Tribolium castaneum: one gene and its partner. The protein of the gene in region 1 interacts with the protein of each later gene in a pairwise test. Links are inferred from orthologs where the notes say so. Each region holds a gene or a part of one and is shown on either strand. Other genes may lie near its edges.

Evidence for each region.
Region 2: the proteins of Pfdn5 (region 1) and Pfdn2 interact in binary tests that used the Homo sapiens proteins (3 or more experiments, as listed by UniProt). The link is inferred for Tribolium castaneum from reciprocal best matches to the Homo sapiens genes PFDN5 and PFDN2.

What each region holds. Positions count from the first base shown.
Region 1 is NC_087400.1:9,613,916-9,630,347, reverse strand, and holds Pfdn5 (prefoldin subunit 5), read right to left. Parts: upstream 7,112-16,432; 5' UTR 7,033-7,111; coding exon 6,931-7,032; intron 6,875-6,930; coding exon 6,740-6,874; intron 6,693-6,739; coding exon 6,618-6,692; intron 6,568-6,617; coding exon 6,415-6,567; 3' UTR 6,339-6,414; downstream 1-6,338. Other genes in the region: uncharacterized protein LOC103314387, read left to right, coding at 7,413-7,486, 7,625-7,748, 7,800-7,838, 7,889-7,915, 11,886-11,978, 12,027-12,246, 12,297-12,424, 12,478-12,568 and 1 more. UniProt on the Homo sapiens protein: Binds specifically to cytosolic chaperonin (c-CPN) and transfers target proteins to it. Binds to nascent polypeptide chain and promotes folding in an environment in which there are many competing pathways for nonnative proteins.
Region 2 is NC_087397.1:2,591,689-2,608,145, reverse strand, and holds Pfdn2 (prefoldin subunit 2), read right to left. Parts: upstream 7,593-16,457; 5' UTR 7,516-7,592; coding exon 7,376-7,515; intron 7,219-7,375; coding exon 6,924-7,218; 3' UTR 6,742-6,923; downstream 1-6,741. Other genes in the region: chondroadherin, read right to left, coding at 4,865-5,126, 5,175-6,307; Vang (van-gogh), read left to right, coding at 8,342-8,445, 8,495-10,037. UniProt on the Homo sapiens protein: Binds specifically to cytosolic chaperonin (c-CPN) and transfers target proteins to it. Binds to nascent polypeptide chain and promotes folding in an environment in which there are many competing pathways for nonnative proteins.

The DNA of each region.
Region 1 (16,432 bases):
ACCGTGCTTACCATAATTAAGTTCGTATAACGAAATACTTGTTACCTATAATTATTTAATTCAATCGACCATGGTGTATATTTAATTAGTGAAAATATAAATCCCCCCGGAACAGCGCCACCTATACATACGTTTGGGAACCACAAATGTCATTGATTCAACCAAACCAATTCGAAATTTTACACAAGTTTATCATTCGGCGTATTATTAAAATATTTGGATAAAATGTCTGTAACATGGTATGTGAGCCTTGCTAGGATATTTAAGCTTCGTTCAGTCATAAAATTTATGAAATTTAATTCGTATGTTCGTGGGTAAGTCAACGTTAACCTCAATATAAATATCAATATAAAGCTTGTCGGCCAAAAAGTTTTATACAAATCTCATGCGTTAAGTCATTTTACAGCGCTTCAACTAATAAGGCACGAGCCTGAAAGGCTCGTGCCTCAAACAAAGTTGTCGCGCTGTAAAATGTGACTTACCGCATTCGAGTGTAAATAGCTATTGAAACACTCTATGTAAAAACTAAAACATTTTTAGAATGTGCCTTATTGTCAGCCCTATCGTTTAAAAAAATTCAAATTGATAGCTTACATAGAAAAAAAGTTGTGGAGTATGCACGCACCCCTGGGTCAGCCTGTATAAAAATAGTGCACAATAATATGATTTGTTATAAACGCTTATTTTTTATTAAAAATATAAACAAAACACTATTTATCCTCAACTGTTATAATCACTTTATTCTCTGAACTTGAGAAGGTGATAGTATGTGGGCCGATAAAGTGTTGAAAACCCGAACACCCATCAAAGGGAAATTTCTGATGCATCCTGAATTTATCCACAGTTCCATCACTAAAAATTAATGTCATTTCAAAAGGGCAATGGGTGGCCATTTTATTTAAAGATGCGTTTCTTTCTTGTGAGGAATTAGAAGAAATATGTTCTCTGTCGAAAAGGGGACCAGCCATTAACCAGTCAAACTTATCCATTGAAGACATGGTAGCGTCAATTATATCGCAGCGGGATTTGTTGACAAGTTGAAGAACTGTGGGTTGTTGACATTCAGACGCTACTTTTTGTCCAACTTGTAAAATCATATTAACGTATTCCATCGCATTCGGTCAGTAGAGAAACCTACAAATAATTTATTATAATAATAAAACGGCCTTTTGTTAATGTTTTTGTCAAGAATTGTTTTATTTTTATTTGGGTAAAGCGGGCTTTAGTTTTGCATTCTACTAGATTGATGATCCCATTATGACTCAAAATAATATCGCGCTCGATTATTAATTAATTAATTTTTTGTAGGTAAAATTTTGTCTTCTTTTTAATATCTGAATTCTAGATTATAAACGTGTTTTAAATTAATGTTTTCATTATTTTACAACACGCTTTCCAAAACAACGTGTTTTAAATTAAAATGTTCCAACAAAAAAAAAATGAATAACACAAGTGTCTAGGTCGTTGCATAACGACAACCCTCGAACTTTAAGTATGTGTTTTTGCACTCGTATTATTAATAACTTTTAGCTGTTTCAAAACGATAAAGACGCCAACGTCATATACTCTCTCAATATTAGCTGTTATAAAATATTCAGGCACTTCAAAAAAATATTAGTTAATGTAATTTTTACTTTCAATAAAAGATCTAATCACTAGTAACTAATTTACAACTTTATTAATCTTATTTAAAACAATAATTCAGTAAAAGGCGACGTTGGCGTTTTTTGTAGTTTTGAAACAGCTAATATATTGGTACAAAGCAATAACCTTAATTTGACTTCTTTACACCATTAAATTATGTAGGTATTAATTTCATACAAAATAATAACAAATGTTTTATAGCTGGACACAATTGTTTTTAAAAAAATGATGAAATTTTAATTCACTTATTTATTTTTTGATCAAAACATTTGCTTACAATAAATTTTTTGAGACGGCTTTCGAAAATGTGTTGAAGTAAGCTAATTTAATTACTAAAACTTGTCAAAAAAAATTCTCCCTAATTAATAATTAGATTTTTTAGACTATTACTTATATTATAGTATACCCATTAGCCAGCAAAAACTATAAGTTTAAATCTGATGTAGAGTACGTTATTTTAACATTTTTTAACATACCACTTAATTTTGTGAACTTTGTTTCATAAGCACGACTTACAAACACCCAGATCAAAAAAAAATATATTTATAATGTTAAGACCGGTTATGGTTAAAACTATTTATCTATATTATTGTGTCGATAAAAAATAATTTTGTGGTGAGAACTGAGGAAAAACATGCAAAATACGGGATGTTTACTATCTTAATATTATGTGTTGTAAAATTGTTATTATACAGTGTGAACTAAAGTAATAACCCATATTTTTGTAATTTATTTTTCAAAAAAATGTTCGGAGTGCTTCATTTATACACAATTCAACAAATATAAGTTTATTTAGTACTCATCAATGCTTTGAAGTAAATAGGTAAATTTTTCTCTAAAGAAAACTTATGTACTGTGTTTTTTGTACTCACCAGAAAGGAATGTAGTCACACTGAAAAAGTAAAGAAAAATGTAATAATTACTCAAAAAGCAGTAAAGACGTCATATTTTGCTGGTGCAATAAAGTCAAAAAGTAGCATTTTTGTAAATAGATTTCTAAGAGGATTCAAAAATCGAAAATAGGTACTTACGTATAATAAATACAAATTAACTCATAACAATAACGACTTCAAAAATAAAAATTGGAGAAAAGGTTTGAAATGCACCCTTCTATACGTTTTTAAGAGAACATTTTGTAACTAAATTTTATATTTTAAAATTAATAACTATAGTTGCTCTATTGTTTTGATAAAATATAACTAACTATTAAACTGTTTTTTATTTAAAAAACTATTATGGTGCAAATAACTAAGCTGTTATGCAATGACAACTCATATGCCAAAAGCATGCTATTGGCACCACAATAGACACAAAGAAACTGCACGTCTAATCTACAGAACTGATAGACTTACTGTCTGTAATCTAATAATCTTATTATCTATCTATTACAAGTTTATATACTAGGTGGGCAGCCTTATCGCGCACCTTAGGACGTTCAGGCTGGTGTGTAAAATTTTAGGATTTTTATTTCATTAGAAGTCGCGACTTTCTTGGGTGCGCGATAAGGTTGCCGCATCCAGTATAAATAAGGAAAACTGAAATAAAGCATGTTTTTTTAAAAATATTTACTTATAGCGAGCATTGATAAGATTATCAGATTTATTTAATACAGGATCATAATTTTATTTTTAGTACTTTGTTACACAAAGACTAACAAATTCTAGAAAAATAATAGTTTCATCTATCTATAAACATTAAACTCATATTTCAAGGCATTTCAGGCACAATATTATACAACCTGTTCCGTATAAACTCCACATTAGAAGTATTGAAAGTTGGTTCTCAGTCATAATCTGTCAAGTTCTGCCCAATGAAAATATTTTCAAGATGGCGGCACTTCCGATTATACCGGAAGTCGCTATCAACTTTTTTGTTTTAAGTAGAATGTTAAGTTTTTCACTACGTTATTACATATTATTACTTATTACTATACTTTCTATATACCTAAGTTTAACCGTTTTAGAGATATACTAAAAGTAGTTTAATTTTGGCCGATGTCGTATAAATGTATCAAATAACACTTTCCCATCTGCTACTAGTTTTGTCTTTGTTGTTACTATGCGAATGAGTGAAACAAAATACAAACCGTCAAGCGTAGCGAAAAATGGGAGGGTCTACCAATCGTCCCCAAACTATGGGATGCCACTTTGGTATTTGTTATGTTTATTGTTGTTAAATAAATTAATATGTCTTTTATTTGTTTGCCTGGTCAACCCTATAAACAAAATGTTTACTATTATCAACAAATATACATGTTAATTATGAATTTCAATTTGAAAGTGATTTTTAAATCCTAAAAACTTTTTAATGTGAACAATTTGTAAACAGCATTGTTTCTTACTCTCTTAAAAGATTATGTTATGTTTAATTTGTAATTACTTAATTTACTGCTACAGCAACTTTCTAACACATTATAATGGTATTAATTCCACTAAAGGTAAAAATAGGATTAGTTTCTTAGACACAAGTAATTGGTTGTAGATAAGGGTTTTCACGTTAGAAAGTTGGTTTTAAGGGTTTAAGGGTCACTTTACCCTTATCCTACTCTCACAAATTCAGTTGTTTCTACATCTGATAATAGATAGGAGGTATCAGTTACTTCGAAAAAATGTATGATAAACATAGTGGTGAATTAATAAAAAGTATTGTTAAGTTTTTGTTAAAAAACTTGGGGCCAGTAATTCCTGTTCAGTGCTACATAAGACGTGCTGCAGAAGCATTAAAAATTGCTGAGAACATTATAAAAAATATTATAAAAGAAAATTTGGGTGACAGTTAAGGGATTAAAAGAAGTATTGGAGAAAAAACACATCTACCAAGGCAGTTGGTCGAATTTGAGAAAGCTTTTGCTGTCTATTGGTATGTATTTTGTTAAATATCTTGTTAAGTACAACGAATGCATTTTTTTGTTTTAATAAAATTTAATTACAGTCGAACTTCTCTAACTCGAATCGTCAAGGGGAACGAATATTTGTTCGAATTAGAGAAATTTCGAGTTATAGAAACTGAAAATATTTTTTTATTAGAAATGAACATTATTACAGATTTGTATGAACATACATATATATTTTCTTTCTCAATGCATATAACTTGTGATCAGATTTTGACGTACAGTTTTTTTGATACAATTGGTTTCATAAAATCGCTCGATTTTATTTAGTGAATTATAAACAATATCAGTTGTCATATTGGCAGAATTTCCAATTTCCTGAGCAAACTGTACCGTTGACGCTCTGTTTTCATTAATTTTAGATAATGTACTCGACGGAATTTCATATTTTTTTTTCTTTTTCACCCCACTGTCCATTTCTTTTTCAATAGTTAGATGCCATTTTTCTAGAAAATGTGCCAATTTTTGCGAAACTAAAACTTGCATAACACTGCGCCGAATTGTGACGAATAATTTCGAGTTAAAGAAGTTCGCGCATGCTTTGTTCATTAAAATAATTTTGAGTTAGAGAAATTTTCGAGTTAGAGAAGTTCGAGTTAAAGAAAGCTAAACACATGTAAATAAGATTGGCAATGCAAGGGGAAACAAAAATTTTTGAGTAAGAGAGAAATTCGAGTAAAGGAAGTTCGACTTAAAGAAGTTTGACTGTAGTTAGTTAAATATAGTGAGGCCAATTTACAAAACACTTAATTGCAATCAAATTTTAATTCGCCTGATATAAACCGGCCCCTAGGTGTAATATGACTTATGAGTAAGCATATACGTATAATATAACATATTTTTGTTTTTACAGAGTTTCATTATAAAAGAGACTGCAATCGACGAGCTCTGTGTCAGAAGCCACAAATTGTTTCAAAAAGATTAATTTTTTTGAGAAAATACGAGGAGTATAAAACAGTGAATTTATACGACTTTCTCGACGAGACATAGATTTTTGCCAAAGGAGGAACTTGGAAAACTTGGAAAACGCTTCCCTAATATTTTCTTCAAAGACAAAATCAGACGATTACCACGACAACGTGTCTCCTTGAAAAGCTCTTACCGTCTTTAGAAGATCCGACAATAATTGTATTAGACAACGCATCTTATATTCTTAAATATTTAAGTTTTTTTGAAAATTATTGGATTTGCACCTGACACTTAAAAAATTCGGTAGCTTTTTTAGTTTGAGAAATTTCGAAATTATCTTTGAAGAATTAAAAGAGAAAGCCTATAAAATCTGTTTTCTAATGTGTTCAAAATTGGAAAAGAAGTGTAAAAAACCCAAAATTTTAAAGTTAAGTTTGTACAACTTCAAGTACCCATAACTTATATTAATATCCTAATTTTTATTTTACTAGATGGAGGAGAATATTTTTCTTTATCGATCTATATTAGCATTTCCTATAACCATCTATTATAAATACAGGCTAATCCAGAAATACTGAGACTGTTGGCAACATTGAATTTAAATTTTATAGAATACCATTGGAGTACGCTTCCAGTTAACAACAATTCAACAATCTTGTGGTATTGTATGTTAAATAATTGTCAAAAGTAATCGAATTCGGTTGCAGTCTTGCAAATTACGAGCCATTGTTGCCAACAAACTCAGTTTTTGTGGATCAGTGTGTAATATTCTCAGTGATAGTCCAAAACTAGCTGTATATTTGGTTGCCTATCCGGCAACAAATTTTGACCAAAATTGATTAATACAAAATGTAGACAATTCCCGAATAAGTCAGGAACATAAAATCAAATAAAGTGGAGGTTAATTTATCTTTTTATTATTAGGTAAACATTTAAACACAGTTATAAATAAATCATGTACAAAATTAAACTCAATTCTGTTGCTGTTGCAGCTTTAATTCCACAATTTCCACAATAGCATCTCTAATTTTGCTTTTTTCCAACCCCAAAATTTGAATTTTCTCCATCTGTTCTGTCACAAACTGAATTTTCCGCTTAAAGTAATCTTTAGCAGCATCAATATCCTAAAAAATTCAATCATTAACACACAATTTCAACATCAACATTGCTGCACCTTTTCTGCATAATATCTGGTTCCGATATCGATCAACACATTGTTGGTCTCGTGCAACTTTCCAGGCACGTACATCTTAAAAAAAAACTTTCATTAAAGTTCGTAAATATTACTCAAATTACCGATCCTGTTAACGGCACTAAAATCTCTTTTCCATCCGAATCGGGGCCAACTTTCTCCAGAGACTCTCCGGAGTTTTGAAATTTCGTCTGTGCCATTTTGAGGGACGCAAGAGATTCTTGAAAGAGCGACAATTCCTGGAAAAAGAGCAGTTTTTAGAATCATGTGCAAGGTTTGAGGTTAGGGCACATACCTGGTCTAACTGTTGCTTTAACGTTGATAACTGCTGGATATTTAGCGTCATCAGATCCACTTGCTTCATATTAGGCTGTTCTGTGGACGAAATTTGAGCCATTTTTCTAATAAATTAATAACTAATAAATGGACAAACAAGGTAGTGTCAAATAGCAATGGAGTAGAGACAAATTGCACTGTTTGAATGAACTACTCGTCGAAAGACAATGCTGTGTCTTTCATACAAGCACTGCTTTGCATTATTTTTTTAAAATTGTTTCCAGTTAAATAAATCTGTATACGTTTCGTATTTATTGGTACATATTAAAAAAATTAACAGCAAGTAGTTCCAATTTAGATACATTTAGTAGATAAATTGCATCTATTGGACTTTCTTGATTGGTGATTTTGTAATAACGTTTTTTGAACTTGATGTTTGTACACTTCAGTCAGTTTTATGATTTAATTGTGTTTTTAATAAGTTGAGAAGTCTTTTGAACAATGTACCGACGGTCAAACAGCAGCTCCCAACTTCCAGTCCCCAATAGGTCACGCTCAAAGTCTTCTGTCAGCAGGTAAAATAATGTAAACTTGTAGTACCTAATTTAGGTCCTGGTTTATTAAAAAAGTAAAAAATTACCAAAAGTACCCTTCTCCTAAATTCCTTCTTCAAGAAATTCAAATGAAATTATTGGCTCTAATTTGTTTTAAAGAGTTAGTGCAAAAGATGACAATGCAAAAAGGTTCAGGGCGAATTCCATGGACCGAACCTTAAATCCGCCCTTGAAAAGATCAACAAGTTCGTCAAATTTGAGAAGACCTTCGGTTACTCCATCAGTTAGGTTTTGTTTTGTTTCGAGAACTTTATCACTCTAATGCTGATTGTAGGTTTCTTATAAAAAATCAACGGTCATTACTCCGACTCTGGTAAAACAGTAAATACAATTGACATAACGTTAAACACCTATTTATTTCAGAATTCTGGGTTAAAACGATCAAATTCTGTAAGTGTTTTAAGTACGGATATCTAAAGATTAGGATACGAAACGATGTACATACAAATAAAACGTTCCCGTTTTTAATGGTTCCGCTAATGTCGCCAGAGGGCGCAGTTAAAAAAGTTTTCTCTCTTAATACGCAACAGAATTTCAAATACAGACTGATCCAGAAAAACTGAGTCTATTGGCAACACATTTGAAAGTATTTGTGCTCGTAATTTGTAACATTGCAACCGAATTCGATTTTTCTTGACAATTATTTGACGTCCAACTCCACAAGAATGTTAAATTCTTGTTAACTTGAAGCGTACTTCATTGGTATCCTTAAAAATTTAAGTCCAGTGTTGCCAACAGACTCAGTATTTCTGGATCAGTCTGTATTATGTGTACATCATATTAAAGGTTTTTTAATTCTACAGGCTAATGCGTTGAAAAAGTAAACTCCTTTAAGAAAAGGTTTAATTTATTTTTGAGATATTGCGATTGATGTAAAAGTCGCGTTATTTTATCAGTAAACTTCAAAATTTGTTTTAGGGTTTTGATATTTATTACAAAATATGAAATTTCAACTAATTTAACAAACGCCATGTAGTAGAACACTGTTGTTTTTAAATTATCAATGAATAGACTGATTTTGTCATATAATCCCCCATAGTTTATTGCTTTTGCCTATAGAGGCGTTGCTCGTGCCGTTTCTGTGGATGGTCTTTTGGTTGCTACCTGTTTTTGTCCCAACTAAAGCAAAGGACGGATTGTGGTCATTTTTAGTGTTGTGTAATTAGTGTAATTACCATAATATTTTTCGGTTATTTTAAAGAACCAGTGGCTGAAACATATGAGGGACAAAAGTTATTTTTCTGATAGGAGATTTTTTGAATTTGAAGTTTCCTTAACTATTTTTTTAAATAACTGCTTTGTAGGTTTATTTATTATGCATATCAATTTTGAACATTATGACAAAATGAGAAAATAATGTATTATTATTATTATTAAATCCATAATTTTTGCACATAAGCCATTATCTTGTTATTTAAGTTCGCCTTTTTCAGTGTAGTATATCACAGAATAAGTTTTTGTAATATTAGAGATCAATATTTGACACTGAAATTGGTATACAAGTGTGTAGTGCGTAATTTTTAAATTCTTTTTTTATATACAGTCTTCACTAAGTCAAAATTTTGAATTTTGATGAAGAAACAGCCACTTTTGTTTGTTTGGTTGAAAACTTGGGATTATGTTTTGTCCAAATTTAGATTTTTGTGTTTTTTGAATTCATTTAATTTTTTTCGAACATTGGGCTTTTCGGGTATTATTTCTTGATGTCGCTGGGCATTTGATTTACACAAGTGCAGATTCCTAATATCCAACCTGGAGGAGCTGCTAAAAATGGTTTTTTTTATATCAGGCCAACTTCTTGACTTTTTAATATTTTAATAGTCACTTTTTCTTACTTCACCCCTTACCTCATATTTATTAGCATTTCCGCGAAACATTACATATAATAAATTTTCCACCATAATTTGTGAACAAAAAAAAAAGTTTTACTGAGGTGATGGTGTGTATTTTAATAAATTATTTTACGTTGTTACTTATAACTAAACTCAAAAGCAATAGGTTTCACGTTAATATTTGTTGTTTTCGGTTTATAACTTTTATGTTACTTGAAATATTGCCATGTTTCATTATTCGATAGATCGACTTACAAGTACACAAACTAAAAATATTTTTACTGCACACAGGGTGTTGTATACAGGCTCGTGAACCAAAGTTATATTTTTTAAATCAAACCCCTTATATATTTTGCATAATTAGATTCTACGCAAAAAAAATAAAACTGTTATGGGTCTATCTCTTTTCGTTTCGGAATTATTTAAGTTTTTGTTATAAAAAAGACCAATTTTTGAAAAATCATTGCGAAGTCACCTATGAATATTTTCCGATAAATTTGCAACAGAAAAACTTGGAATATTCTGTAGTTTCAGCATTAGTCGACTTTTACTTGAAACACCCAGATAATGTACAGATGTGCCAAAACGTAAAAAAGTTGAATAACTCATATATTTTTCAAATGGAACACTATGTATTTCTTTACACGTGTCGATAGCATTTTTATAAGTTTTCTAACGATATGCGGTTTGTATAGTAAATTAGAAATATTTCCTAAAGTGTTTTTTTCTTTTTTCTTTTATATTTTATTATTAATTTTTGATGTGTAAAATTCATTGATGTATCAAGTAATAATTAAATTACTAATGTAATTAGTCACATTACATTAGTACATATCAAAAAATTAATTATCATTTGACAAATCAGATTCTAGGATAACAAATTTCTTGTAATAAAATACTTTTTTTTAATCTCGAAAAATGTTTTAAATTTGCTATGTAAACCCTATACCATTAGAAAGCTTATGCAAAATGCTATCGATACGTGTAAAAAATACATGGTGTTTTTTAAAAAAATTGACTCATTCAACTTTTTGCGTTTTAGCACACCCTGTACATTATCTGCGTGTTTCAAGTACAAGTCGACTATTTGCTAAAACTACAAAATATTCTGAGTTTTTCTAATGCATAAATAATCACTTCACAGTGATTTTTTAAAAATCTTTTTCATAACGAAAAGTTGAATAATTCCGAGTCGAAAAGAAATAGATCCAAATAGTCCACATAAAGTTATATTATTTTTTTGCGTAAAATTCAACTATGCAAAAATAATTTAAAATAAGTTATATTTAAAAAAATATAACTTTGGTACACCAGCCTATATACAACACCCTGTATACTGGGTGTGGCAACCTTATCGCGCACCCAAGATAATGGCGACTTTTGATGAAATAAAAATCCTGAAATTTTACTCACCAGCCTGTACATTGATAAGGACCATTCTCGATTTTTATTAAATTTTTTTGTTAATAAATGAAGTCGTAGCAGTTTTGTGAGTTTTTGGGCATTAACTGTTAATTTGACTACAAAGTTTTTAGACCAAATGAATCCTTACCTGCTAGCCCATCGAACGCTGGTATCAGAATTATAAATTTTTACTTGGTTGGTGAAATAATCGGTCTTTTTTATTTAGACGCAAACTAGACGCGTTATTTATTAGAAGATGATATAATTTGCCAACAAAGGGATCAGTTACCAGTAGCCGACCTTTTTGAAGCCCCTTATTTACAGTCTTGCAATAAAACTGATGCCTGCATTCAAATATCCTATCAAAATCTTTTACAATCTTACCCCAGTTACAGTTCACATTGTCACCACAAGTAGCCACTCAAATAAAAATAATTTTTAAAGTTAAAATGTAAAAGTGCGTTTAATTCAAAATCTCATTGGTGTTTTTCTTCGCTAATTTCGTAAACAATTATCTGAAGTGAATACGCGTGGTTTACTATAAAATTTAGAATTTGACTCTTTGGTCGAAAATTACTTTTTTTAAATTATTATTTTTATCTGCAAGTGAAAAATTACCAAAACATTAGGGGAGATACCTTTCGAACGTACAGTCAGGCGTGTAAAATGCAATTTTTTTTATTTAATTAGAAATCGCGATTTTCTTAGATGCGCGATAAAGTTGCCCCACCTGGTATAATAAAAATATTTGTAGTTTGTGTACTTTAGGTCGATTTATCGTATAATAAAAACGGCATAGCAATATTTTAAATAACAAAAAAGTTACCGATTACACACCCCTAGGTCACCCTGTATCTTTAACCGTATTCGCAGCGTCTTGAAAAATACGGAACGAAGCGCAATTTCAAATTTTATTAATTAACTTTTTTCTCATGTTTTTTACGAAAATGTTAGTTTTTCTCAGTCTGTCTGTAAAAAGTGCAAAGCTCAACATTTCTGCCTTTTTTCCAAGTAATTATTAAATTGATTGGATTTAAAACGATTTGGCGATTTTGTACCCGTTTCATCTCCTAATACCTTGTAATACTCCGTACTTTTAAGTTTTTTAACAAAATTATTGATAGAACCTCACAACACCTCGCTCGCGCAGCAAATCCCCCTACAAGATCGGTTCAGCAATAAATGACAAAAAGTGGGTTTCGGACCAATATGCCAAAGTGAGTTGCCCAAATTTGGCGATTGGATGAGAATGTTGGATGTTTTAGGTCTTGCGATTTCTCAGAGAACACCCCAATTGCCCTGAACACCTTCCCAACACCATTAAACCACCAACCATTAATTCATTTGTGGCCGTTTTCAACCTCCTATTCAAAGAAATCGATCCGCGCTTTGAAGTCAACACAACTAACTACAAAGATATTGTCTTGAACACACTCAAAATTTATCAATTTCCAGGGAACATTTCGCTTTCATTGCTAAAAACTGGTAATAGTTAATTTAAGCTTAGTTATTTCTATTTTAATAATTTTTTTCAGTTAATACAATGCATGCTTGGCCACAAGTGATGGGTATTCTTGGGTGGCTTGTTGATCTTGTTACTTACATAACACAGACAAATGTAAATTCAGCTCTAGAACAAGATCCCAAATATCAAAAAGTTGAGGTTGTTTTTATAACATAATAAAAAAAAATTGTAATAATTATCAATAATTTTAGTGTGTTACTAATTATGTTCTTGAACGATACCAGTTGTACAACAATAATGACGATCAGGAAATTGCAGATCAAGCAGTTAGTCAAGAACTTGGTTAGTTTATTATTATTACAGATTAGTTTTGTTTTTATTTTATTGTTTTTGTAGTAAAAGTTCTTGATATTGATGATGCGGAAACTAAAAGGCAGCAAGAAGAAGTAATCAAGTTAGAACAGTTGAAAGAGCTACGTTTGGAGCAAATAAATGAACAAAAAAACAAAAATGAGGTAAGTTTTTTTAGAGCAAATGTTAAACTATTTCTTTATCAACTCTTTTGAGTAGATAAAATAGCACTTTACCCGAAAGGGTACACAAAATGTTTTAAATTTATTCAAACAAATTTACAAATTACAACATACCGGGTATTTTAGTTTCGTATTCGCACCCTTGTACCTTTTTTTTATTAAAACAAGTACAACATAAACATAATATACAGGGTGATTTTTTAGGGCCTACATTAGAAACTTTTTGACTTCTAACGCAGCTAGAGCTTTGAAATTTTGTATATAATTCTAAATCGACCATCGAGTTCAACTAAATTATTTACAAAATTTCAAAACTATGAAAAATTGGCACCAACTTTGACCAAATTTTCATTTGTAGAGGTTCATTCAAAATATCACAGCTCTTGAACTCTTTAAAAAAGTGAATAGTTTTTTTGCATTTGATAACCAACGGTTTGAACGATCTAAAATTTTCAGGCTTTGTCAACTGTCAAATTACAAGGCTACTATGATTTTTTTGAAAATCATGATCAAATACCAGCTTTTTCAAATAGAATGATCTTTTTTTCTATGACAATAAAAAAATCTTTTAGGGTCTGCATTAGAAACTTTTTAACTTCTAAAATAGCTAGAGCTTTGAAATTTTGTATCGATACAAATTGACCATTCTGAGTTCAATCAATTAAATTGTTTTTAAAACTAGAGCTTCCGGAACTACAACTACTTGGCGCCAACTTTGAAATTTTAAACAGTAACCACACATTTTTATCGCATATTTGAATTAACCTTCTCAAGCTGAGTAAAATTTATTCAAGTAGTTGGTATTTATCTGTCATAGTTTATGATACATGTCAATTTTTTTATTAAAATTTTCATTTGTAAGATATCACAGCTCTTAAACCCCTTACAATAAGTGAATATTTTATTTGCATTCGATAACCGAAGTTTTGAAGAGTCGTCCAGAATTTTTAAAATTGTCATCTGTCAAAATTCATGGCTAGTATGATTTTTTTCAAAATCGTTACTAAAAAATTGTCATAACTCAGTTTTTTTAATGGAACGACCTTATTTCCTTAACAGCAGTCGAAAGAACATCAATATTTATGGTGATTTTTATCAACACGTCCTACACCTCTCTTATAGTTTTTAAAAAAAATCACAAAAAACGAATTTTACTTCGAAATTTATATAGTTAATCAAGTAGACCTTGCAAAATGGTCAACAATTGTCATACTTCAATATTTTATTTAGTTCTTAGCTCGTTGATTATCGTAAACAGTAAAACAATAATATTTAATTATGGTTTATTATAACTTAGTGAATTATGTAACGTAACTGAGTCAGTCTGCCATCGAATTTTGAACTTCTTTAATGAAAATGGTGAAGAAATCGAACAATTCTTTTAATTAATTGCACATATTTACCATCTTTTTTTAATAGTTTACTTGAATAAAATGAAAATAATGAGCTAAAATTCAGTTTTTGCAATTATTTCAAAAACTGTAAGAGATAGATATAGAAGATGTTCATAAGAGTCTGCATAAAAATTGATGTTCTTTTGATTGGCATTGAAAAACAGGGTCATTCTATTGAAAAATCTGTTTTGTAATCATTTTTTAGTCATCTTTTTAAAAAAATCATAGTAACCTTGAAATTTGACAGTTGACAATGCTGTAGTCAATTCTGGTGGTTCAGGAAACATATGTCAACTACACAAGCAGTTTTAAATCTTATTAACCATAATAATTATAAGTTGGTATTATAAAAAAAAAAAATTTGACCAGCTACAGTCACAGTCACATAAAATATTAATAAACAAATTAAGATATTACAATTTCACAAAATTTAACACTAATCAATTTTTATCTTCAAAATAGGTATCAAAAAGTATGCATTAATAATGGGACTGTTGTTTTAATTGGACCCTTGTTGTTTCTCTTATACATCAACATGTAATTCTTATCCAGATTTAAGTTAATTTTGTGACGTGTGTAAAATACTCTGGTAGTTTTATTAACACAAAGAATATTCTCTTCTATTCATTTTGAAAATAATTTAGTTGAGCTCAAAAAAATCGTCTTGGATGTAAACAAAATTTTAAAGCTCTAGCTATGTTAGAAGTTAAAACTTTTGTGCAAAACAAAGTTACCTGTGTGCGAATACCAAACTGAAACACCCTGTATTATTTGAGGGATTTGTTAGGTTAGTTGTAAATAGACCATTCAACCTTATAACTGTTTATTGACTAATATCCCGGAGCATTGAGGGTGCGTCCAGGCCCCTTCTGCGACATAACCTAACTAACTCACTCTGCCAAAAAACCCCCCTCCAACTCCCGTGTCGCCCACGTGAGAGTTGCCAACCTAACATCCCCCCTTTTAAATACAAAACTAAGCTAAATATGAAACTAACTACCTGAGGTATCAAAATATACATATTTCAATAACAATAATAATCTTGGTATCTTTTGGGTCTTCTGATTGGTCTTTTCTTTGGTTCCTCTGATTCGTCTGGTTGTTCTGGGTCATGTTCGGGTTCATTATTTCTGTCTGGTAAGGGCTGAAGATGTCTTCGATTTCGTCTGACGCAACCGCCGTCAGTCTCGATCAAATATGACCTTGGTTCTTCACATCTGCGTTGTACTTCTCCCTCCTTTTGCATATTTATGATCCATACGCGATCACCTTCTTTTAGATTTTTCTCTTCTTTTGTTACTCGGTGTCGTTTGTCGTAGTTGGACTTCTGTTCTGCTTGATTGTTGATTAACGTTTGTCTGACAGTGTCATGGTCGATAGTTGCAGGTTTTAACCCTGAAGGTAACCTTGGCAGTCTGTCTCGAAGGTTTCTGCCAAAGAGCAGTTGGGCAGGTGACAATCCACATTTAGTAGGTGTATTGCGGTAGGTAAGAAGTGCAAGATATGGATCTTCATTTTTCCTCAATATCGTTTTGAGCAGCTTCACAGCACTTTCGGCTTGTCCATTTGACTGTTGGTAATGGGGACTACTGGTAATTAACTTAAATCCATATTTTCTGCTGAAAGTTCTGTATTCGTGACAATCAAATTGTTTGCCATTGTCGGAGCGGACAACTTCGGGTATACCATGTCTAGCAAACATTTCTTTGAAGGTCTCGATAACAACTTTGGCTTTGGTGGTGCGAAGTTTTCTGATTTCAGGATACTTGGAATAATAGTCCTGTACCACTAAGTAAGTTGACTCATGATATTCTGCGAGGTCGGCACCAATTGTTTGCCACGGTCTAGATGGAACTTCGGATGGTAACATGGGATCTACCGTTGGTCTGCGTAGTTTGATGCAAATTTCACATTTCCCGACGACTTCTTTAAGCTCTCTTGTGATACCTGGCCACCACACAGTAGCTTTGGCCCGGTCCAAACATTTATTAATACCGAAGTGTCCGTCATGGAGCACATAGAGGCACTTCTTCTGAAGAGGACCAGGAATGACGACTCGGTCTTTGTAGCAAACAATGTCATGAGCGATGCTTAAGTCTTGTTGATGAGAGAAGAATTTACTGACTAACGGGTCGCTTTTGTGTTTCTGTGGCCAACCATTTTTGACGTATTCTTTGAGTTTGCTGTACGTTGGGTCCTTGTTTTGGTAAGACTTGATTTCTTCCGTTGAACAAATTTCTGTAACGACCTCACGCATCACGAAATTGATGTAGAGATTT
Region 2 (16,457 bases), on another chromosome or scaffold:
CCCTCTTCGTTCCAGCGTCAACATTCAAACGAGGCGAACAGGAGACAAAAAGCATTCTTACTAATCAAGTCTGGCTATACACTGTCCGGTGACCGTACGGCCCAGCCGAGCGAAACAATTGAGTCTAAAAAGAAATTTCCTTTTTCAATTTTCATCCGACGTCAATCTCTTACACTTATTTTCCTCGGCACAGATTTGATTTCATTTTGAATCCCCGACGAGCTTTTGTTGGCTCGTTATTTACGTTTTCATTGTTTCGATAAATGAGACTGGGGAATATCTGGGTCTCGTAAAGCGGAACTTTTTTGCAAAAATCGGGATAATTACGCGGTTTCAAGTGATAACCGATAACTATACACCGAGAAGTAACACGACGCAGTAAAATTAAATGTTTGCGGTATTACATTCACTGATTCTGAAACCACACATGACCTCGGCACCCCATTATTTGTGACTGATTTAAAACACAAACGGACGACCCTTGACACCCAAGACACTTAAATGGCTTATTGGTGTTACCACTACTGTCAACGGTTTCCTCTATTTATGTGATTGCGGCCAAGAGTTTAATTGTCAATTCTATTCACACTCTGCTATGATTTCAAATATGGAAGCCACAAGATCTTCAACTATGAGACATCCTACAACTTACGTAAAAATGGGCACTGGTAAGAAATTAAAGCCACATCACGGTTCACACTTATCCAGAGATGACAACACCACGTCCGAACGATAGCAAAGAATAAACACAATGTGTTCAAAAATGAATGCTCATCAGTTAAAATTAAAAATAGACCAAAAAAAATTAAAATTAAAAATTAAAATCAAATTATAACGTCCAGAAAAACAAAAAAATTGTCCCCAAATGGTTAAAAAGAAAGAAAACTAGTTATTTTTTAAGACAAAAAATATTAAAATCATGCAATTAACGAAAGTTGCTACAAATGTGGTTTTTTAATATTTGTTCAATTTAGCTTATTTAACATTTTTGGAGCAGCCACCGCTTAGCCCGTCCTGGGCACTTTTTGCTCTGGTTTCTGTTTTCAAAAATCGGTGTACCTGGCAGACTGCCCACCTGTTTCGCGTATTTTTTTTGTTACGTAAGTGTCTATATCTCGTCCGGTGGTTCCGTGGCATCCGCGATCCGTGCGGTCCCTTTTTTCTGGTTTGGAAATCGGATCCCCCGATTTGGATATTAATAAAACAGTAAACAAAATTGCCAGAAAAATTACGAACGCATCTCTGACTGCACTTTGTTTGTAACCCAAATGTTGCAATCTGGCTATCAAGTTACCTGCGATAATTCGGTAACAAAGGAGTATCGTACGCGGGGGCCGATGCGCTCAGACAGGCGCGCTTGAAATTAGAGAAAGCCATGGAAAATGAGCCGCCTGCTAATAAGGTGGCCGATTACAGGCTAAATTTGATCTTTGATGCGAATAATATCGATTTTATACCCTGTTGCTCGCTCGTTCGGCTTTTATTCGGTATAGGGTTGGCGAATTCGGTTACAACACGCTACTCGTCTTCAAAATCGACCAAGAGTGATTTTTTCCAAAATCGGGGGGAAATCCAAGAGGATTAGGGACGTGTTTCCGTTCTGTACCTTTTTAATCGCATCACTAAGGAGCTTTGCAACACAAACATGCAAACAACGGTGCATAAGGTCCGTACACGCTACATATTTTAGCTTCGATTTGAGGAGGGAGTGCCGGACTAATCCGACAAACCACAATAGAGAAAGCGGATTTACGGAGATGATTGACACCGGGGCTCCATGTGCTCCATTCACCATGGGCATGGATATATTTAATAACACAACAGTTGGAAAAAGCCACTGACAAAATTAATACACTCGGAAAAATGATCTGTTTGCTATGACTCTATTTGTAGTTGTAAAAAAAATGTGGTATGCAACTCTTAGATTTTCTTATGTAGATTTTACCAAGCCGTCTAAACCTCCCATTAGAAGTAATGGTAGTTCTAATAATAATGACAATCATCTGAAAATTTGTATACGACCATAATCTCTTAGGTCCTGCTTAATGAAAATATTTTCAAAATGGTGACACTTCCGGTTATACCGGAAGTCGCTATCACCTTCCTTATTTTAAATGGAAAGGTATATTTTTTAATGCTTTTTTGGATTACTAGAGTTATTCTAAGGTAGTTTTTATAAGCTTTTCCTATACCTAAATTTAATCGTTTACCAAATATTTAGAGTTTTTAATTTTTTTTGAATTAGCTTCTCCCAGTTCAAAAATCGATAACTTCGCCATTTAAAAAAAAAATGGAAATATCTTTAGCTCATTTCAAAGAGAAAGTCTAGATCTTTTCTTTGGTGTTTTCAAATTGCTAAAAAAAAATAACTAACTCCAAATGTTTAAAGTTAAGTTTTCAGAACTTTAAGCACCCAAAACTCAATTTTTTTAAATAAAATGCCAAAGATTTTCTTTTATTAAGTCGTAGAGAATTTAATTCTGAGACCTATCTCACTAATACAGTAGTAATAGAAAATCTTTTTCGAGTATTAGTTATTATTTTTTTTTTGTAAGCCACTGACAAATTAATAAAAAAGTGTTTTCGATCAACTTATTGCTCGTTAATCTTGGCGATCTTCCCTCGCACCTCTGCACAATAAAACGCTAGATGGTAATCGGTCGTCATTTACCGAAACGTGGGTTATCTCTGGTGCTCCCCTCGTGCACCGGTAGGAAACCCAAAACCCATTGGCAGATGACATTAGTGAGTCCGTGTACCATAGAGATGGTCGATACGATTGTTAAGTGTCTTTATTATCGCGTATTATCACACGTCGTCGTTTCGACATCTATTGTCACACCGAGTGTGTTTTAATTGATGTACAAAATGAGCGACGCTTTTGCCTATCTCTGGGTCCATCGGCGTAATCGACATTAGAAAGCTCGTTCCTGCCAAAGGAAGTATTTATTGTTACGGTCTCGCTCTATTATTTGAACCGTGTTGAAGAAAAAAAAACAAAAGCCTGGTGATAATGTCCGATGTTATCTCTCTCCTGTGAACGTGTTTTAATAACCACAATTTGCCAAAATATTACATTTCGGAAACTGTACACCGGGTTTATCTCTGATCTGTTTTCATAACCGCACGGCTTTGTCCCGATTTTCAATGCGTATTTATCAAATATGGACACATAAAGGGTTCTTCAGGTTTCAGATGAGCATGAACAAGATGTCTGAGCTATTTGTGGAGCTTTTTTCGTCAAAGAATGCCCGATTTTGTTCTATTTTCCGCTTGCGTTTTATTGATTCATTCAAGGATTACATCATGTCATCCCCGAAAACATAATATATCCTATTTACATCTGGTAAATTGGTAATTGTAACAAAACATACATGGTGCAATCCTATTACTGCATACAAACTGAAAAAATCAGGGGTGATTCTTGTTTAGTTGCATACGGTATTATGAGCTTAAAGTGATGTGTTAAATGCGGAGGGGGATGATCTAAAAAGCATTTAATTCACGCCACGGTTAAGCCGGAAAGCTCACTGCACATGTTTAAAAATGTATTAAGTAAAAATCGATTCAATTGCACAACAAGCCAAATACGTTCCCATTTGATCAAACTTTGTGTTTTTTTTTCAAACTAATTATTTCTAAAAAAATAAATCTTATGAATAACAATGTTTGTACATAAGCTTTACTTGGGCTATGAAAATAAAACCTGTAGATTTTCTTTAAATTTCAATAACATACCAAACTATTTAGTTTTAATAAATTTTGTCACAGTCTTTATTCTGGACTTATTGTAGGTAATTTGAATTTTTTGCTCATAATACAGTGCACATTTTTGTCTTTTCTTGTAGTTGAATACACAATTTTCTAGTGCCATCATAGCTATATTTTTATCGTTTCAAACCCTTATTTACATATCTTTTTTGTCATTTTTTTCCAAGTTTTTTTATTTGATGGACCGAAAAATCACACCCTCAAAGAAAAAAAAATGCTCAAAAAACTAAAAAATTGTGAGAAACTTGATATTAAAAAAAATCAATTTACTTAAAAAAATTCCTTCAGAAAAATTTTAAAAATTAATAATAAAATAAATAAAAGTAAACTCAAACTCTACGAGTATATCATTCAAAAAACTAATGCATTTCTCTAAGAGATTTTCACTTTTTATAGTAATTAATAATAAGAGTGTGAAAACACAAGTTTAAAGTGCGAGGACTGTCGTTATGCAACGAGCGTATGCGAGAAGCGTGTTCCAAAATATTGAAAACATTAATTTAAAACACGTTGCCATGGGAAACGTATTTAAAATAGTGTTTCTAATCTAGGATTCAGATTCCAGAAGAAGGCTTAAAAAATGTTACCAACAAAAAAAAACAATAAACTCGACAATGCATGACTCAATTTAATACCAACATGAAGTTATGTGAAAACAAACCATAAATTATCATAATCAAAATCTTTTTTTTACCTCATAATTTGTCCAAATTTTCCTTTCTTGGCCTTTTTTTTTTAATAATATTATGCTAATTCCAAAATATTTGACCTAAAACAGGGTTGATTTTTTGGATTTGTTACGTCAGCCCTCGCGCAACACCAATTATTTGAATTCGTGGAGCGCATTAGAGCCCCGCTGCCTGAAATAAATCCAAAATAATGAATCGATATAAAATAGTTATCAATTATTTTTCGCTCTGTTAGATTTTGTGTGCATAGACAGAAGTCGGTGATGCAGAAAAACTCAATAGGGAAGGGTGGATGGTAATCGCTTTGTCCCATTTACATTCAAAACGATTGACCGGGACTTGATACACCGCCGGAATTACATATCAGCAAAACGTGAAATAATTTTATTTTATTTTTAACAAAGTTAAGTCAATTCTTCGCCGATTCTGGACGCACTGTAGGGTGACTGGGGGCCGATTCCCCGCGACCTGTTACCACTCCACCAGCTCGGGGAGTAATAAAACAAATAGCCGACCAAAGCCGCCAGAATTAAGACGAGGAGTATTAAAAAGGCGATGAGGACTCGGTGCGACTTTTTGCCGTACTTTTGGGGGTAGCAAGTTGGGACGTTTTCGTCGGTCACGTCGAAAAGTTGCTTGGAGCGGAGAGATAAAGGGGAGGAACACCTGGAAGTGATTTTTACGAAAAAAAAACACAAGTTTTAAGTGACTCACTTCACGTTTTCACTTTTGTATAAATTCTCAAATTCTTGCAACCACAGTATGTCACAGTCGCATTTCCACGGATTGTCTGTCAAATCAATAAAATCCAAACTTCGGAAGAGGTACTTATACGTCCAATTCAAACTTTGTAAACCATTCCCAGCCAAAGACAATTTCCGCAAATTCGTTTCTTCATTTTTTTGCAAAGCGCCAAAGACCAGTTCGTTAAACTCCCGCAAATTGCGACAATGTTTCACCGATAACTCCTCCAGTGCTTCCAAATTATAGAAGGCATAGTGGTGGATAGTCTCAAGCATCTTCATTCGTTCGAGTCTTAGAACTCTGAGCGTGTGGTAACTCAATTCTTTGGCTTGGAGCACCGAAATGTCCGTCCCAGACAAGTCCAAATACTCCACACTGTATGGAACTCGCGGGACTTGAGTAAATCGGTTATCGGCCAAAGATAAGTGCGTTAAATACGTATGGTTGCTGAAAAAACCATTTTGGACGTCCTTAAGCCCAATATTGTCGAGACTAAGACGCACAATGTTGGGGTTTATGCCGAGCCCGGAGTCGGTTAAAGTCCGGACTTGGCTCAACGACTCTCCGAGAGAATGGTTATTGTAACTCAAATCCAAAACTTGTAATTCTACAAGGGGCGAGAAAGTCGCGGCTTGTATCACATGGATGAAGTTGAAACTCAAATCCAAATGAGTTATTTTTGGGTTTTTTTGGAAAATTTCGTCACTGTCGAGACTTTCGATGTTGTTGTGACTCAAAACTAGGATTCTCAGGTTGGGAATTTCGGCGAAAAAGCCATAACTGATGAAACTAATCGCGTTGTAAGATAATTTCAACGTTTCTAAGGTCACACTTGAAAATCGCGTTTCGGTTGCGTCCAGTTTTGTGAGTGAGTTGTGTGATAAGTCGAGCAGGTTGAGGTCTTTAGGTAGCTGCTCTGAGGTCGGGAAATAGTCGAAATTTGTTCTTACGCAGTCGGCTTCTGTGGCAATTAAATCTTCGCTGTCGGTGATGCGTTTACAGATACAGTTTTTCTCTGCTTTTCTTACGGAACATAGCTGGTTTAAGGCCTCGTTGTGGTAAAATAATAAAGAAAAAACAAGAAGGAAACTAAACTTAAACATTGTCTCACTAGAACAAGAGGAAAATCTTTTATCAGTTAACTTATCATGATGTTTTTTCTAAACTGAGTCACTTCACATACTGACTACTGATATCTAGAGCAAATAGGATTTAATAAATGATTGGTTTATTATTTACTATCTATCTTTTTTTTATCTTAGATAATACTTATATTGTAATTTAATTATATAATTAAACCAGTTTTTTTTAATGTGGTGAATATTAAGTGCTTTAATTTATTAAAACTTATTAAGGCTTTCATTTGAATTTTTTAGAGAAATAATTTAAAGTCATGGTTAGGCAACCAATAATACAGCCACAAAAAACGAAAGAAATTTAATTGTTTTTTTTTGTTGAATATGCAATTGAGATTATAATTTATTGGTGCTTACGTAATTCGTCATTGGGTAATGGGGGTAAATTAATAAAAAACCACTTACAAATTAAATTTTTATTCGGATGAAATATGTTACATTACCTTGCAAAAAACCAGCACAGCTCTCATAGAAAAAGATGAATTTGTTAAATGCCGACCAAATTCGAATGAAATACATAAAATAAATATTCTACAAAAGAAAAATCCTAGCTTAGGTGTAAATAAAAAAAGCACATGCATATTTAAGACACTAAAACATTTCCTCTACTCTCTGAAGCCGCCACTTGCTCCTCCTGTTTCGGGGCCGGATTATCCAACCCTCTAAAGCTAATGTTATACTTTTCCCTGTATTCATTAATCTCCACACCTTTCTTCGTGATTTGTTCTTTCAACTTTTCAATAAGTTCTTTGAGTTTCTCCAAATTCGCAACAAGTGCCGGAAGAACGTCCTTCACTTTTCGCTCAGTTAAAACCCCCCCGACTAGTCGGAAGCAACGCCGGTCTTCGTTCACGTTTTGTAAAGTGGCGATGACCATTCTGTAAAAGCGAGGTTATGTAACATTTTACAAAAAAACCGGCAACCACGAAAAAAATTTCATTTCAAAAATGAAAATTTACTCAATTTTGAGTAATTTGCCGTGGGTTTCGCCGCCACAGCCCCACGTTTGGGGCCACAACCGGGCCGGAAACTTACTTGTGTTCGTTGGAATCGGCTTCGAATTCCGTCAGTTTTGATGAAAGGGTGCGCTGCTCGGCCCTTAGCGCTTGAAAGCCGTTCAGGATCTCCTCGGGCGTGAGCCCTTTGGACGATTTCTTTTTCGAATCACTTGCCATTTTTGGTAAACATAAATCCGGAATTTGAGAAATGTCACTTTGTCATGGTCACGTGACGCAGCCACATGATGTAAACCTGGCGGAAAGAAAAAACCAAGCGCGTTTTTGCCAATTTTGCGATAACCAGACAATGTGGATTTTTTTTCAATTGAAATTTATCTTCCCGGGTCTAGACTACGTCTATTTTTTTCCTCGTCTCGGTTTCTTTGACTGAAATTCATTGGAAGGAATTGCTCTATTTAGTGTTTTTAGTCATTTTTGGTTTACACGGTAGCCATGTTGCAGCCATAATTTATGGGGCAATTAAATTGCTCCTAAACGTAGGCGTTTACATTTTATAAACTCCGATTTAGTTTTCAGTAAATTTTGAATAAATTTGAATAAAAAAGCATGTGTGGAGTGTCGGAGGGAATTGGTTACGTGTGTGGGGAAAAAACGGTGCGTGTTCCAAGTGCCGTTTGAGAAAAATGATCCAGTTTTATTAGAAAAACGCACACAAGCCGCCGCACTAATTTAAATGCAATTTGTAAACGATTTACGCAACTCTTACGAAACAAATCCCAAGAAAATGCATTCCTCCTGAGCGAAACGAACCCCGGAAGTGGCCTAAGGCTCCAAATAACGGAAATTGTTTGGATTTTTTATGCACAAATACATGTTTACGAAATGTCATCAACGTGAGGAGTCATTGAACTTATTAGTGAAATAATCAGGATTTTTGACGAGAATTCCCGCAAAAGTGTTGATAAAGAACCACTCATGACAGTTTCTTGCAAAAAAAATCCGGCTTTTGGGAAAATACATGGGCAACGAAACTGGACGAGATATGGAGACTGAATCCATAAAATCGGAAAACAGTTCACGATCGAGACGTTCACGGGGGCACCGCGACCGCAACAACTACCGACAGCACTCCCACAGAAGCACCAGGTTCGTGCCCAAACAATTCTGGACCATCTTGAAAGTAATTTTTTTACAGAAGCTCCAAGTCTCGCAAAAACGACGAGATGGCGCCCTTCCAGACGGCCGTGACCCTCACCCCCGACAACCGCGACGGCCAGGAGGTCATCGAGGTGCAAATCCTGCCCCAGGACGACAACTGGGGCGAGAACACCACTGCCATCACCGGGAACACGTCCGAGCAGTCCCAGTCGACCGAAGACGTCAGTAACTGGCCCGGTGAACCTGACACCGGGCTCTCCTTCGTCTGCCAAAGATACATGGGGACGGTGCTAACGTACATCCTTTCAATAGTTGCCTTCTTGAGCCCCTTAGCCATGGTCGTATTGCCAAAACTGGGGTTCTTCCCTGCGCTGTCCTCGCGGCTGGGACTCGCAGACAGCGCGAAATTGTTAGCTTGCGGGGCCGAATGTAAAGGCCAGTTGGTGTCGTTGGCGTTCAAAATGGCCATTTTGGCGGTCGGGGCCTGGGCTGTGTTCTTGCGCAAGCCGAATGCGACCTTGCCAAGGTTTTTCCTGTTTCGGGCGGCTGTCCTAGCCTTTGTTTTAGTCTGTATTTTCGCCTATTGGCTGTTTTATATAGTTCAAGTGACCGAGACTGCGCGTGCCGCCACCACACCGGAGGAAACGGTGGATTATGAGGCCTTGGTGGCTTACGCCTTAAGTCTGACTGATACGCTACTTTTTATCCATTACTTGGCTGTAGTTTTGATGGAGATCAGGCACCAACAACCGATGTATTACATCAAGGTTGTGCGGAGCCCCGATGGCGCTAGCCGCGCCTATGCCATAGGCCAGTTAAGCATCCAGCGAGCGGCTGTTTGGGTCCTTGAAAAGTACTACACTGAGTTCCCCATTTATAACCCGTACTTGGAGCGCATCCCGGTGTCAAAATCGCGCAAAAACTCCTCAAGTTTCAAATTTTACGAAGTGGATGGTGTTAATAATTCCTCCTTGCAACAGTCGCAGTCACGGGCGATGTTGGCGGCGCATGCACGCCGACGTGACTCGAGTCACAACGAGCGCTTCTACGAAGAGCACGAGTACGAGAGACGTGTGAAAAAACGCAGGGCTCGACTGATCACAGCCGCTGAAGAAGCCTTCACTCATATCAAACGCTTACATAACGACCAAGTGCCTGCCATCCCGATGGACCCGCACGAGGCCGCCCAGGCCATTTTCCCGTCGATGGCACGAGCCCTCCAGAAGTATTTAAGAGTGACGAGGCAACAGCCGAGGCACTCCGTCGAGTCGATTTTGACTCATTTAGCCAATTGTCTCAGTAATGATCTGACCCCGAAAGCGTTCCTCGAGCAGTATCTAGTGAGCGAGCCCGTTTTGCAAAATGATAAGGAAGTGAAGGATGTGCAGACGTGGGCGCTGATTTGCGAGGAGTTGCTAACGCGCCCGATTGGAGACAATACGAGCTTTCAGTTGAGGCAAAACGATGTCTCGCTGCTTTGCACGATTAAAAAGATCCCGCATTTTAATATTACGGAAGAGGTTGTTGATCCGAAGAGTAATAAGTTTGTTTTGAGGCTGAATTCGGAGACCTCGGTATGACCTATAGTTTACGATCGACTTATTTAAGCACATATCGGTTTGTAGTATTGTATAATTCGTGGTCAAGCGGTTATTCTATTCCTCCTTAAATAATTAACGTTATTACAAGACTTCGTGTAACTAATAGGGTGTAAATAATTTCCGTGGTTGTGTAAGACCAAAACGAAATTTTTATCAGTTTTATGTGATATTTTTTGCAATAATGTTTATTTCAGCTCAAAATACTCGTAATTTATTTTTTACTCGTTTTATGAATGCACAAAGTGTAAATTATAGCACAAGTAATTGTAAGGCAGGTACTTAAGTATAGCGTCAACTGATGTAGATACATTTAAGAGGTTTGAGTCCAAAGATTCGGCATGTTTGGACTGTTTGTGCCTAAAATTTGTAAGATATGTCAGTGCAATTTTTTCCGTAGCTCTAGCTTATCTCAAAGGATCAGTATTCTAAAAATGACATTAAATGTAGCCTTTTATATCTCTTTGTGTATGTACACCGATCTGTGACCGTGTTTTGAATAAATGTACTAATTTGTAATAGTGTTTTTTTTAAACCTATCATTTTTCTGGGGTTATATTCAGGCATCCCGAACTGATATAGCCAAATAGAGCCCTCACTGACACAGCTTCCTTGATTATTTTATTTATAGTTACTGTATTTAAAATGTGTCACTCAAAATTTCACTTTTCAACACCGCATTTAAAGATTTTAACTGCAATTAAGTTTTATGAAATTATTGGTTTGTGAAATAAATAAATACGACACAGCAATAAAATAGACCTACCTTCATATCGCTTCCACGTTGGCTACCGTTTGTAGCATTAAAAAAATTAAAAACAACACCAATAAAAAATCTTTATTTGCATGAAAATTACAAGCGACATAATTTTACGGCTGTAAAAAACAATCAACAATGTTATATTTAAGGATTGCTCTAATTGGTCAAATTAGTCAATAACTAATTTGTCCGGCAAGAACCACGTGGAGGTTTAGAGCATTCTTGCCAGGAAAAAAGGATATAAGGATGAGGTAAACAATGATTATTTGAAAATGAAGGGAATAAAGGAATTATTGGTTTGTGAAATGAAAAAATAGTACACAAAAATCAAAGCTTTTTCACTTGGCGTTAAATAAATGCTCTTACCTTTTGAACTGCATCTGCTACCATTTGTAGCAAAACCTAAAAAATAAATTAAAAACACAACCAACAAAAAAATTAATTTGTAGGAAAGTTACAACAAGCGACTTTAATAAATATTATACAGAATAAAGGATACACAATACGGTATAATATATGGCACACAAGCTATTAAATCAACACATCACAAGATAAAACGCAAAAAAATGCACCTACCTTCATATGGCTTCTGCGTTGGCTACTGTTTGTAGCAAGACATTAAAAAATAAAAACAACACCAATAAAAAAATCTTTATTTGCATGAAAGTTACAACAAGCAACGTTTGTCAATATTAAACAAAATAAAAAATACACAATACGTTTTAATATGTGGCAATTCAAATTCAAAACTTCAGTAAATAAATACACCTACCTTCATATCGCTTCCACGTTGACTACCGTTTGTAGCATTAAAAAAAATAATAATAATAAAAATGAAACCCAAAAAAAAATGTTTATTTGCTTTAAATTTTGAGCAAGCCACTTTCATTCATTGAAATTAAAGACAAAATTATTACGTGGCAATATATTGTTTGAGTGTTTGATTTTGTTTATAGTTACTGAATTTAAAATGAGTCACTCAAACTATGACTTTTCAACACCGTATTTAGAGCCGGTGTACACAACATTGTAATTGCAATTAAATTTCATGAAATTATTGGTTTGTGAAATAAATAAATACGACACAATAATAAAATGGACGTACCTGTATATCGCTTCCACGTTGGCTACCGTTTGTAGCATTAAAAAAAAATTAAAACAACACCAATAAAAAAATCTTTATTTGCATAAAAATTACAACAAGCGACATAATTTTACGGCTGAAAAAAACAATCAACAATGTTATATTTAAGGATTGCTCTAATTGGTCAAATTAGTCAATAACTAATTTGTCCGGCAAGAACCACGTGGAGGTTTAGAGCATTCTTGCCAGGAAAAAAGGATATAAGGATGAGGTAAACAATGATTATTTGAAAATGAAGGGAATAAAAGAATTATTGGTTTGTGAAATGAAAAAATAGTACACAAAAATCAAAGTTTTTTCACTTGGCGTTAAATAAATGCACTTACCTTTATACTGCATCTGCTACCATTTATAGCAAAACCTAAAAAATAAATTAAAAACACAACCAACAAAAAAAAATAATTTGTAGAAAAGTTACAACAAGCGACATTAATAAATATTATACAGAATAAAGGATACACAATACGGTATAATATATGGCACACAAGCTATTAAATTCAACACATCACAAGATAAAACGCAAAAAAATGCACCTACCTTCATATGGCTTCTGCGTTGGCTACTGTTTGTAGCAAGACATTAAAAAATAAAAACAACACCAATAAAAAAATCTTTATTTGCATGAAAGTTACAACAAGCAACGTTTGTCAATATTAAACAAAATAAAAAATACACAATACGTTTTAATATATGGCAATTCAAATTCAAAACTTCAGTAAATAAATACACCTACCTTCATATCGCTTCCACGTTGGCTACCGTTTGTAGCATTAAAAAAAATAATAATAATAAAAATGAAACCAAAAAAAAAATGTTTATTTGCATTAAATTTTGAGCAAGCCACTTTCATTCATTGAAATTAAAGACGAAATTATTACGTGGCAATATATTGTTTGAGTGTTTGATTTTGTTTATAGTTACTGAATTTAAAATGAGTCACTCAAACTATGACTTTTCAACACCGTATTTAGAGCCGGTGTACACAACATTGTAATTGCAATTAAATTTCATGAAATTATTGGTTTGTGAAATAAATAAATACGACACAATAATAAAATGGACGTACCTGTATATCGCTTCCACGTTGGCTACCGTTTGTAGCATTAAAAAAAAAAATAATAATAAAAATGAAACCCAAAAAAAAATGTTTATTTGCTTTAAATTTTGAGCAAGCCACTTTCATTCATTGAAATTAAAGACAAAATTATTACGTGGCAATATATTGTTTGAGTGTTTGATTTTGTTTATAGTTACTGAATTTAAAATGAGTCACTCAAACTATGACTTTTCAACACCGTATTTAGAGCCGGTGTACACAACATTGTAATTGCAATTAAATTTCATGAAATTATTGGTTTGTGAAATAAATAAATACGACACAATAATAAAATGGACGTACCTGTATATCGCTTCCACGTTGGCTACCGTTTGTAGCATAAAAAAAATAATAATAATAAAAATGAAACCCAAAAAAAATGTTTATTTGCTTTAAATTTTGAGCAAGCCACTTTCATTCATTGAAATTAAAGACAAAATTATTACGTGGCAATATATTGTTTGAGTGTTTGATTTTGTTTATAGTTACTGAATTTAAAATGAGTCACTCAAACTATGACTTTTCAACACCGTATTTAGAGCCGGTGTACACAACATTGTAATTGCAATTAAATTTCATGAAATTATTGGTTTGTGAAATAAATAAATACGACACAATAATAAAATGGACGTACCTGTATATCGCTTCCACGTTGGCTACCGTTTGTAGCATTAAAAAAAAAATAATAATAAAAATGAAACCCAAAAAAAAATGTTTATTTGCTTTAAATTTTGAGCAAGCCACTTTCATTCATTGAAATTAAAGACAAAATTATTACGTGGCAATATATTGTTTGAGTGTTTGATTTTGTTTATAGTTACTGAATTTAAAATGAGTCACTCAAACTATGACTTTTCAACACCGTATTTAGAGCCGGTGTACACAACATTGTAATTGCAATTAAATTTCATGAAATTATTGGTTTGTGAAATAAATAAATACGACACAATAATAAAATGGACGTACCTGTATATCGCTTCCACGTTGGCTACCGTTTGTAGCATTAAAAAAAAAATAATAATAAAAATGAAACCCAAAAAAAAATGTTTATTTGCTTTAAATTTTGAGCAAGCCACTTTCATTCATTGAAATTAAAGACAAAATTATTACGTGGCAATATATTGTTTGAGTGTTTATTTTGTTTATAGTTCTGAATTTAAAATGAGTCACTCAAACTATGACTTTTCAACACCGTATTTAGAGCCGGTGTACACAACATTGTAATTGCAATTAAATTTCATGAAATTATTGGTTTGTGAAATAAATAAATACGACACAATAATAAAATGGACGTACCTGTATATCGCTTCCACGTTGGCTACCGTTTGTAGCATTAAAAAAAATAATAATAATAAAAATGAAACCCAAAAAAAATGTTTATTTGCTTTAAATTTTGAGCAAGCCACTTTCATTCATTGAAATTAAAGACAAAATTATTACGTGGCAATATATTCTTTGAGTGTTTGATTTTGTTTATAGTTACTGAATTTAAAATGAGTCACTCAAACTATGACTTTTCAACACCGTATTTAGAGCCGGTGTACACAACATTGTAATTGCAATTAAATTTCATGAAATTATTGGTTTGTGAAATAAATAAATACGACACAATAATAAAATGGACGTACCTGTATATCGCTTCCACGTTGGCTACCGTTTGTAGCATTAAAAAAAAATTAAAACAACACCAATAAAAAAATCTTTATTTGCATAAAAATTACAACAAGCGACATAATTTTACGACTGAAAAAAACAATCAACAATGTTATATTTAAGGATTGCTCTAATTGGTCAAATTAGTCAATAACTAATTTGTCCGGCAAGAACCACGTGGAGGTTTAGAGCATTCTTGCCAGGAAAAAAGGATATAAGGATGAGGTAAACAATGATTATTTGAAAATGAAGGGAATAAAAGAATTATTGGTTTGTGAAATGAAAAAATAGTACACAAAAATCAAAGTTTTTTCACTTGGCGTTAAATAAATGCACTTACCTTTATACTGCATCTGCTACCATTTATAGCAAAACCTAAAAAATAAATTAAAAACACAACCAACAAAAAAAAATAATTTGTAGAAAAGTTACAACAAGCGACATTAATAAATATTATACAGAATAAAGGATACACAATACGGTATAATATATGGCACACAAGCTATTAAATTCAACACATCACAAGATAAAACGCAAAAAAATGCACCTACCTTCATATGGCTTCTGCGTTGGCTACTGTTTGTAGCAAGACATTAAAAAATAAAAACAACACCAATAAAAAAATCTTTATTTGCATGAAAGTTACAACAAGCAACGTTTGTCAATATTAAACAAAATAAAAAATACACAATACGTTTTAATATATGGCAATTCAAATTCAAAACTTCAGTAAATAAATACACCTACCTTCATATCGCTTCCACGTTGGCTACCGTTTGTAGCATTAAAAAAATAATAATAATAAAAATGAAACCAAAAAAAAAATGTTTATTTGCATTAAATTTTGAGCAAGCCACTTTCATTCATTGAAATTAAAGACGAAATTATTACGTGGCAATAAATTGTTTGAGTGTTTGATTTTGTTTATAGTTACTGAATTTAAAATGAGTCACTCAAACTATGACTTTTCAACACCGTATTTAGAGCCGGTGTACACAACATTGTAATTGCAATTAAATTTCATGAAATTATTGGTTTGTGAAATAAATAAATACGACACAATAATAAAATGGACGTACCTGTATATCGCTTCCACGTTGGCTACCGTTTGTAGCATTAAAAAAAATAATAATAATAAAAATGAAACCCAAAAAAAAATGTTTATTTGCTTTAAATTTTGAGCAAGCCACTTTCATTCATTGAAATTAAAGACAAAATTATTACGTGGCAATATATTGTTTGAGTGATTGAAATTAAAGACAAAATTATTACGTGGCAATATATTGTTTGAGTGTTTGATTTTGTTTATAGTTACTGAATTTAAAATGAGTCACTCAAACTATGACTTTTCAACACCGTATTTAGAGCCGGTGTACACAACATTGTAATTGCAATTAAATTTCATGAAATTATTGGTTTGTGAAATAAATAAATACGACACAATAATAAAATGGACGTACCTGTATATCGCTTCCACGTTGGCTACCGTTTGTAGCATTAAAAAAAATAATAATAATAAAAATGAAACCCAAAAAAAAATGTTTATTTGCTTTAAATTTTGAGCAAGCCACTTTCATTCATTGAAATTAAAGACAAAATTATTACGTGGCAATATATTGTTTGAGTGTTTGAAATTAAAGACAAAATTATTACGTGGCAATATATTGTTTGAGTGTTTGATTTTGTTTATAGTTACTGAATTTAAAATGAGTCACTCAAACTATGACTTTTCAACACCAACACAACATT